Linked DNA regions of Astyanax mexicanus. The protein of the gene in region 2 interacts with the protein of the main gene of each other region in a pairwise test. Links are inferred from orthologs where the notes say so. Each region holds a gene or a part of one and is shown on either strand. Other genes may lie near its edges.

Region 1 (3,750 bases), on a different chromosome or scaffold from region 2:
GTTTGTTATCTAGCTACTAAGATGAACAACTGTCAATTTATTTAATTCTTGCTATAAAGAAAATTCTCATAAATCATAATATTAAAACTACACATTAAACAATGGTAATATAGTGTTTATAGTTATTTTTAGCAAGGAAAATACTTTATGTTTTTTTCCTGAAAAATAATCTAATTTTAAAGAGTCCTATAGCCCGTAACACTTCCCCCCTACCTCTCCAGCATAACAAGAATCTGCAGATTTTATAGATATTTCTTTGTTTTTTTGCGTTTATTAACATGTTAGAACGACTAATTAAATGAATTAAATTACATACCTTACATTATTTTATTTATGCACATAAAAATACCAAAAAACCGTTTTAATTGACGGCCTTGTTTTCTCTCTTCCCTTTCAACGAGAAGCGAAAACCCCGCTCTGTTGATACGTCACGTCTCTCGACCAATCAAATCATTTGTTTAAGTGTGGTCGTCGCGCCCATCGGATTTGAGCACGGGAATCCCGGCACGCTATAGGCTGAGAGGGCCGTCAGTCATCGGATTATCCGTTTCGCGGTAGGTCGGAAGGGGGGAATGGGAGGGAGGAGGGCGCGTCTCTAACGGCTATGTGTTCCCTACGTAATGGCCTCGATTAAACAAGGAATAGCGGGTTACGCGTTTATGTAGTGCCCTTGGTAGTGCGTGTGAAGGTGGTTTGGGATTGGCCCGCTGGGGTTGAGCTGTTTAAAACGCCCAGGCGAGGATTTCGTCTCCTCCTCCTCCACCTCCACCCCCACCTCCACCCCCTCCTCCTCCTCGGGAGCAGCAGCGTGACGTTGCCGTTAGAGGTGCACAGGTTTCGCAGGGCTCGCGGGAGATAACGTAGATAGCTGGGTTAACGTTATATTTATTTATTTTCACACCTTTCTTTCCCTCCCCCTCCTTCTCCCTAAACCACACACACACACACACACAGCACAGGCTCCAGTGGAGTGAGTGAGACAGTGGGATGTGGTTCGGTCTCTTTTGCTGTTTTGTTTTTGTTGTTAGTTTACGTTAGGGTTATCTCTATCTAACAGTTATTTATCTATTTGGAAGCAGTCCGGTAGCCCAGCCCGCCTTCCTGCAGCAGAGCGGCCAGCTATGTGATTAACACGGGCGATTTTACACCGGCGCGTCTGATTTTCGCCTCCCTGCAGCAGCTCGACAGCAGCTAGAAGCTCCGCTGGACGCTTTTTTAACGTTTTTAAGCGCTGTGTGTGTGTTTAGGAAACATGGGGCTGCCCGCTCTGGAGTTCAGCGACTGCTATCTGGACAGCCCGCAGTTCAGAGACAGACTCAAGTCTCACGAGCTGGAGCTGGATAAAACCAACAAGTTCATCAAGGAGCTCATCAAGGACGGCAAGGCGCTCATCCAAGCCCTGAAAAGTAAGAGCAGCATCTTCCTCTGGGGGTTCAAACCTGACACGCATGACCTGGCTGGAGCTACTGTGCCCGGGTGCACTCTGTGTGTGTGTGTGTGTGTGTGCGTGTATGTGATGGATTCAGCGCAGCACGTGCAGCTTTGTTGTACTAGTTAACTAACTTAGTTAGGTAACCTATCTAGGTTACCTACTGCAGATGTGGGTAACCCCCCTGTCTCTTGATCTAGTTATCCAGCTGGTCTCTTCTTTATTAATGTACTCTTTCTCATCTTGCTATCTATATTTATGTTATAACTCAGTAACTCATTATAGGAGCTCCTCGTGTGCTTTCATGTGGCCACTAGTTGTGTAATAAATAGTAGATATAGAAGAGTAAAGGGATAACACTGTTAACTAGGTTAAATAAGTACTAAAACAAAAATGTGTGCAAAGCTACTGTACACTACGTCTGCACAATGCTAGTTAGTGATATATAGTGAGATACTCTATTATGGCTGCACAATATAACAGGAAAAACCTGACATTGTGTTTGACATTGTTGTTGTTTTGCAGTATATACAGCTCTAAGACCGCTTAAAATGTTTCTTTGATTTTACCAAACTGAAAGCCTCTGGAATGTAATTAAGAGGAAAACTTATGATCACAAGCCATCAAACCAAGCTGAACTGCTTGAATTTTTGCACCAGGAGTGGCATAAAGTTATCCAAAAGCAGTGTGCAAGACTGGTGGAGGAGAACATGCCAAGATGCATGAAAACTGTGATTAAAAACCAAGGTTATTCCACCCAATATCGATTTCTGAACACTTCTAAAAACTTGTTTTCTTTGTGTTATTTGAGGTCTGAAATCTTTTTTCATTTTCTGCAAATAAATGCTCTAAATGAAAATATTTATATTTGAAATTTGCAAGAAATGTTGTCCATAGTATATAAAATAAAACAACATGTTCATTTTACTCAAATTGCAATATCAGAGAAACTGAGGTGGTATCGTAATTTTTTTCAGAGCTGTATATACTGCAAAAGAAAAATATTGTCAGTTTTCCAGCCATAACAAGGATGTATGATGGTCCTGGATTTGATTATATTAATATCAACAGATCTTCGCTTAGGTAGATTTGACTGGTATTTAAATAATGCTATTAAAAGGCTAATTTATACTTCTGCTTCGACCTGTGAGGTAGCCTATGCATACCCAAAGCATAGCCACGTGCCATACACAACGCATTGATTTGACGGCACATAAGTATAAACCAGCCTTCATTTGAACTCTATAATAAGGCAGATTTAGACTGCATTTTTAATTACTTACATATTAACATCTACATCAGAGCTTGCATTTTTGCATCCCATGGTTATGGAAACCCCAAACTTGTTGAGGGCTTACACATTATATGATTACCCAATTGCAGCAGACAGGTTCATGCAGGGCGTTGTGTTTTTTGGAATTTACTGTATTTTACCATTATCCACATCACATATAAAACACAGCAGGCATGTGTTGGTTGGTTGTAAACAGAAAACAATGAATCAGTTTAAATCCGTCTGGGCTATTGGTATTCAGTCACAAAGCTATGTTGAAGTATTGCTTGGACTTGAAATTACAGAGAGGTGTAACAGGATTCACTGCTGAGGTTGAGTTGTGTGGTGCTGGCAGGCTTTTTTTCTGCAAACGCAAATTGCTGTTTGGGCAAGTCCCTGGGCTGCTGACTTCACAAGAAGTTTTGTTGCAACTCCTGTGTTGAAATTGAGGCTCATGCTTCACAGGAGCATGAGACCACATGGCCCACTGGAAGACTACCACTGTTTATATGAGGTGGAGGCCCATGACTGACTGAGCCGTCATCTCCTGAGCCATGTCATTCAAGTTGGAGCGCTCATTCACTCCTGTCAGCTAAGCAGAGGCTCAAGCGCTGGGCATTGAGCGACACGACTTTAGAGAACGTAAACACCAACAGGCAGCTACGGCTTGCTTGTAAACACGCGACCGGCCTGTCATTTCACCTCAGGATAAAAGGCTTCCGTCCGCAGGCTCAGCCCTGAAGCACGATAATTACGCTCACAGATTCAAATCGTGGTTACTCTAATTTCACACAGATGGGTTGCAGTTTTTCGGCGATATCTCAATTGGCGTTAAAGGTGGCGAGATAAGATTGGTAGTGCGGGAGCTGTGGAGGCGTTGGGGCTGGTTCATGATGTGGCAACACCCAAGTTAGAACCAGAAGACCAACTTTATGGGCCAACTGTGTCATTTTGTTTCTTAAATTGGGTCACATTTTTCTTTTGTTGTTTTATTTTGCTTCTAAGGAGGATTCACACTTTAAAGTCTGGACTAGAGTCTGCACCAAGG
Region 2 (3,750 bases):
AGCATATTTCCCTCATCACTAACAAGAGTGAAGAAGCAGTAATAAGTAAGCCTACAAACAAAGCAGAATGTTTCCCATCAATGTTTTAGCTGCTCTTTCAAATAAAAATAATGCCAATTCAGAAAGGAACCTACTAATGTTTTCATACTTCCAAAACAATTTTACTTTTTCACATTTTCTAAACAAATAATTGTTTGAGACCCATGCAAATATCATTGGTAATATATAAAATATATATTTTTTAGACCTCATTTGCCAAAAAGTGTGGCATTTTAGCAAACTCAACCCTTTTTAAAAATTTTGATTTCTCTTAGTTTCAATGTGTGGTGTTTATATGGTATCCTAACCCATACATACTGAGTAGTGGTTTATTCTATATTCTTGTACCTTTGTATATATCTATTTTGTATATCGTTTGTACATTTTCTGACACTTCTGTTCTGTCCTCTAAGTTACAAAACTGTAATAATGTAAAAAAAAGTGAATGCTGTTTGATTATTACAGGATTATCTTACCTTATCACTACCACTGTAAGAAACCTCTATAATAATCGATTTCACACCAAACTACTCTGAATGACTGAAAAATGTGTGAAATTCATTACATTCTAATAATAGGCTTTACTGTATGTATTTAGAACTACTTGTGAGAGAGAATGAGAGAGAGAGAGAGATTAAGAAAGAGGGAAGTGGGTGAGAGATAGAGAGAGAGGAAGAGAGAGGGAAGGGGGAGAGAGAGAAGGGTGAGAGGGAGGAGAGAGAAGGGCGAGAGAGAGAAAAGGGTGAATGAGGAAAGAGAGGGAAGGGGGAGAGAGATAGAGAGAGAGAGAATGGTGAGAGGCACAGAGAGAGAAGGGGGAGAGAGAGAGAGAGAGAGAGAGAGAAGGGTGAGAGAGGGAGAGAAGGGTGAGAGGGAAAGGGTGAGTAAGAGAGAGAGAAGGGTGTGAGAGAGAGGAGAGAGAGAAGGGTGAGAGAGAAAAGGGTCAGAGACAGAGAGAGAAGGGTGAGAGGGAGAGAAGGGTGAGAGAGAGAGAGGAGAGAGAGATAAAAGGATGAGAGAGAAAAGGGTGATTGAGAAGAAGAAGAGGAGAGAGAGAAAAGGGTGAAAGAGAGGAGAGAGAGAGTGAAAGAGTGGAGATTGAGAGTGGGACAGAGAGAGAGAGAGAAGGTTGAGAGAGAGAGAGTGAGAGAGAGAGAGAGAAAGTGCTCTGGAGGGCGTTTCTGGTTTCACAGTATCAGCAAACAGAGCTCAGTGTATCGGATGAAGAGGTTATTTCCGTGAAGCGGGAGAGAGAGTACTGACGGTGCAGACACGGTGGGGGTCGTTCAGGGGGTATTCTGGCTTTTTTAGCCATGAAACGAGTCGGAGATGCTCGGGCTCCCCTCGCAGACCCGCGGTTACTCAACCACGCCCCCCGAGGGCGGAGTCACGGGGCCAGGCTGAGTAACCACGAGCTCGCGCTGCACTGAGTCAGTTCATGACTGGAGAGCACCTGGAGACAGGAGGCTTTCCCTGCCTGTTCAGTACAAGGACTTATTTCTCTCTTCAGGGAGGACGAACACCTCTATAAAAAGGATTTAAACTGAGTGAGAAACTGAACTTAAAGGTAAGCTCAAAAAATAAAAACACAGCACTTATATTTGGCTTCAATTTAACTGGTGGGTTTAACTGTGGGTTTCTGTTTGTGGGACCAATTTCACATCTTAGTTTAAAAGAATATAGACAAATCGTTTTTTTTTTTAAGAAAAATTAGCATAGCTGATTTGATTAAAAATTGGTTTTAAATGTATTATCAATACTTCAAAAATGTAGTGAAAATACTGAATTTTACTGTGTTAGCTATGTAAAAGTAGTTAAAACACATTAAACAGTTAAAAAAATTAACATATTTTTTTCTGTGGTAAAATGCGTGTTAAAAATGAGTATTTAGAAAAACAGTTAGCCAAAGTAAAACTAAATTAAATACATTCAGACAAGTAGTTCTGTTTGTCTGAGAGATATTGAGCCAGCTCTATAAAAAAAGGTTTAAAAGCTTTAAATGCCTGTCCGTGTTAATCGCAGTTTGTGGAAAAAAACTGTGAGGAATATTAAAATAGAGAATCTTCTGTTTACCTCAGAAAGTAGACCAGCGGTAACTAACTGTGTTGCAAAGCTGTGTGGATAAAAGCCTATAACAATAACAGCCCATAATATCGAATAGCATATCTATTGAACACTTTAACCCAAGCGGTTTACCGCATTCACCCATTATTTGAACCGCATTAAAATCACGTGGTAACTCTGTTTGGCGTCTGTTTGCGGGTGTGCTGACCGTTGAATAGAGAACAGCTTTAGTTAGCTTTTTGTTTCGAGAACAGGCTTTTACTGAGCTCCCATTGGCAGCAAACACCTGCTTTAGAGAGCATTAACTCCCAGTGTGCTGGACATACAGCTCTGGAAAAAAATAAGAGACCACTTAAAAATGATGAGCTTCTTTGATTTTCCCAAATTGAAAACCTCTGGAATATAATCAAGAGGAAGATGGATGATCACAAGCCATTGAACCAAGCTAAACTGCTTGAATTCATGCATCAGGAGTGCACCAAAAGCAGTATGTAAGAGTGGTGGAGGAGAACATGCCAAGATGCATGAAAACTGTGATTAACAATCATGGTTATTCCACCAAATATTGGTTCCTGAACTCTTAAAACTTTAATGAATTTGAACTTGTTTTCACAATGTTAATTTTACTCAAACATAAACCTATAAATAGCAACATCATAGAAACTGATTCAGAAACTGAATTGTTCTCTTATTTTTTCCAGAGCTGTATAGCTTAAAGTTGCAGTTTGAAGATACGAATAATAAAGTTGTAATAAGGTGGTTATTATTTAAAAAATTTTTTTCTCTATTTAACTAAAACTGCTGTTTGACAGTTATAGTCTACAGTTTTCTGTAAGTGAATTGTGTCCTTCAGTGTGAAATGTAGTATGTTTTTGTAATTTCCGTTTTAACTACCTTGGAAAAACTGCACTGTTGTTTTCTTGTAGTTGGGTGGAGGCTCGTTGTGTTTGATTGATGATAAATGTGCAGGAAATTAGATGTGGAGAGGGATTATGACAGATATCCACTGTGTTGTGCATTTCCTCTCCCCAAGCTGCCTTTAAAGGCCAGTGTAGACCCCTGCTTACGTAATGGTTCTCTGAAATCATTAGGACATTACCAGGGATTTTTCCCACCTTTTCTGCAGGAACAGCCTCTGCTCCTTTGGAAAGGTTGTACAGTGGAACTTTGCTATGATAATTTGATTGCATTCAGCTAAGCTTTAATGGCTGAAACCAAGCATTGGATAGCATGGTATAAAGCCTCTCCAGTTTTGCACTGTGAAGCAGTGAAACTGTGATCTCTTGAGCTCCATCCAATACTTTTGAGATGAGTTGGAGAACTGCAAAACTAATTATCTAACATCAGTACTGATTGGTCACCTCATCTCAGAAGAGTTTGACAGATTGCCACCACTTGCACAAGTGTACAATTTAGTTCCACTTGCTAAGTACACTTGTAGACTTGTACGTGTCTAGCCAATCCTTGGCTTAAGGTGTGGTAAACATTTTGGTTTAGAAGAACCTTTCTTTTAAAGCTATTGTACAAGCTGTGTTTATGCAGTTGAATTCATGAAGATACAACATACGTACAGTCTGGCCCAAAAAAAAGGTCAAACACTCTAATATTTTGTTGGGCTGCCTTTATCTTTAATTGCGTCACATGGTT

Evidence for each region.
Region 1: the proteins of cdc42ep2 (region 2) and rho GTPase-activating protein 26 interact in binary tests that used the Homo sapiens proteins (3 or more experiments, as listed by UniProt). The two-hybrid records come from large-scale screens. The link is inferred for Astyanax mexicanus from reciprocal best matches to the Homo sapiens genes CDC42EP2 and ARHGAP26.

What each region holds. Positions count from the first base shown.
Region 1 is NC_064424.1:20,704,685-20,708,434, forward strand, and holds the start of rho GTPase-activating protein 26, read left to right. Parts: upstream 1-785; 5' UTR 786-1,252; coding exon 1,253-1,406; intron 1,407-3,750. UniProt on the Homo sapiens protein: GTPase-activating protein for RHOA and CDC42. Facilitates mitochondrial quality control by promoting Parkin-mediated recruitment of autophagosomes to damaged mitochondria.
Region 2 is NC_064408.1:32,557,153-32,560,902, forward strand, and holds the start of cdc42ep2 (cdc42 effector protein 2), read left to right. Parts: upstream 1-1,292; 5' UTR 1,293-1,606; intron 1,607-3,750. UniProt on the Homo sapiens protein: Probably involved in the organization of the actin cytoskeleton. May act downstream of CDC42 to induce actin filament assembly leading to cell shape changes. Induces pseudopodia formation in fibroblasts in a CDC42-dependent manner.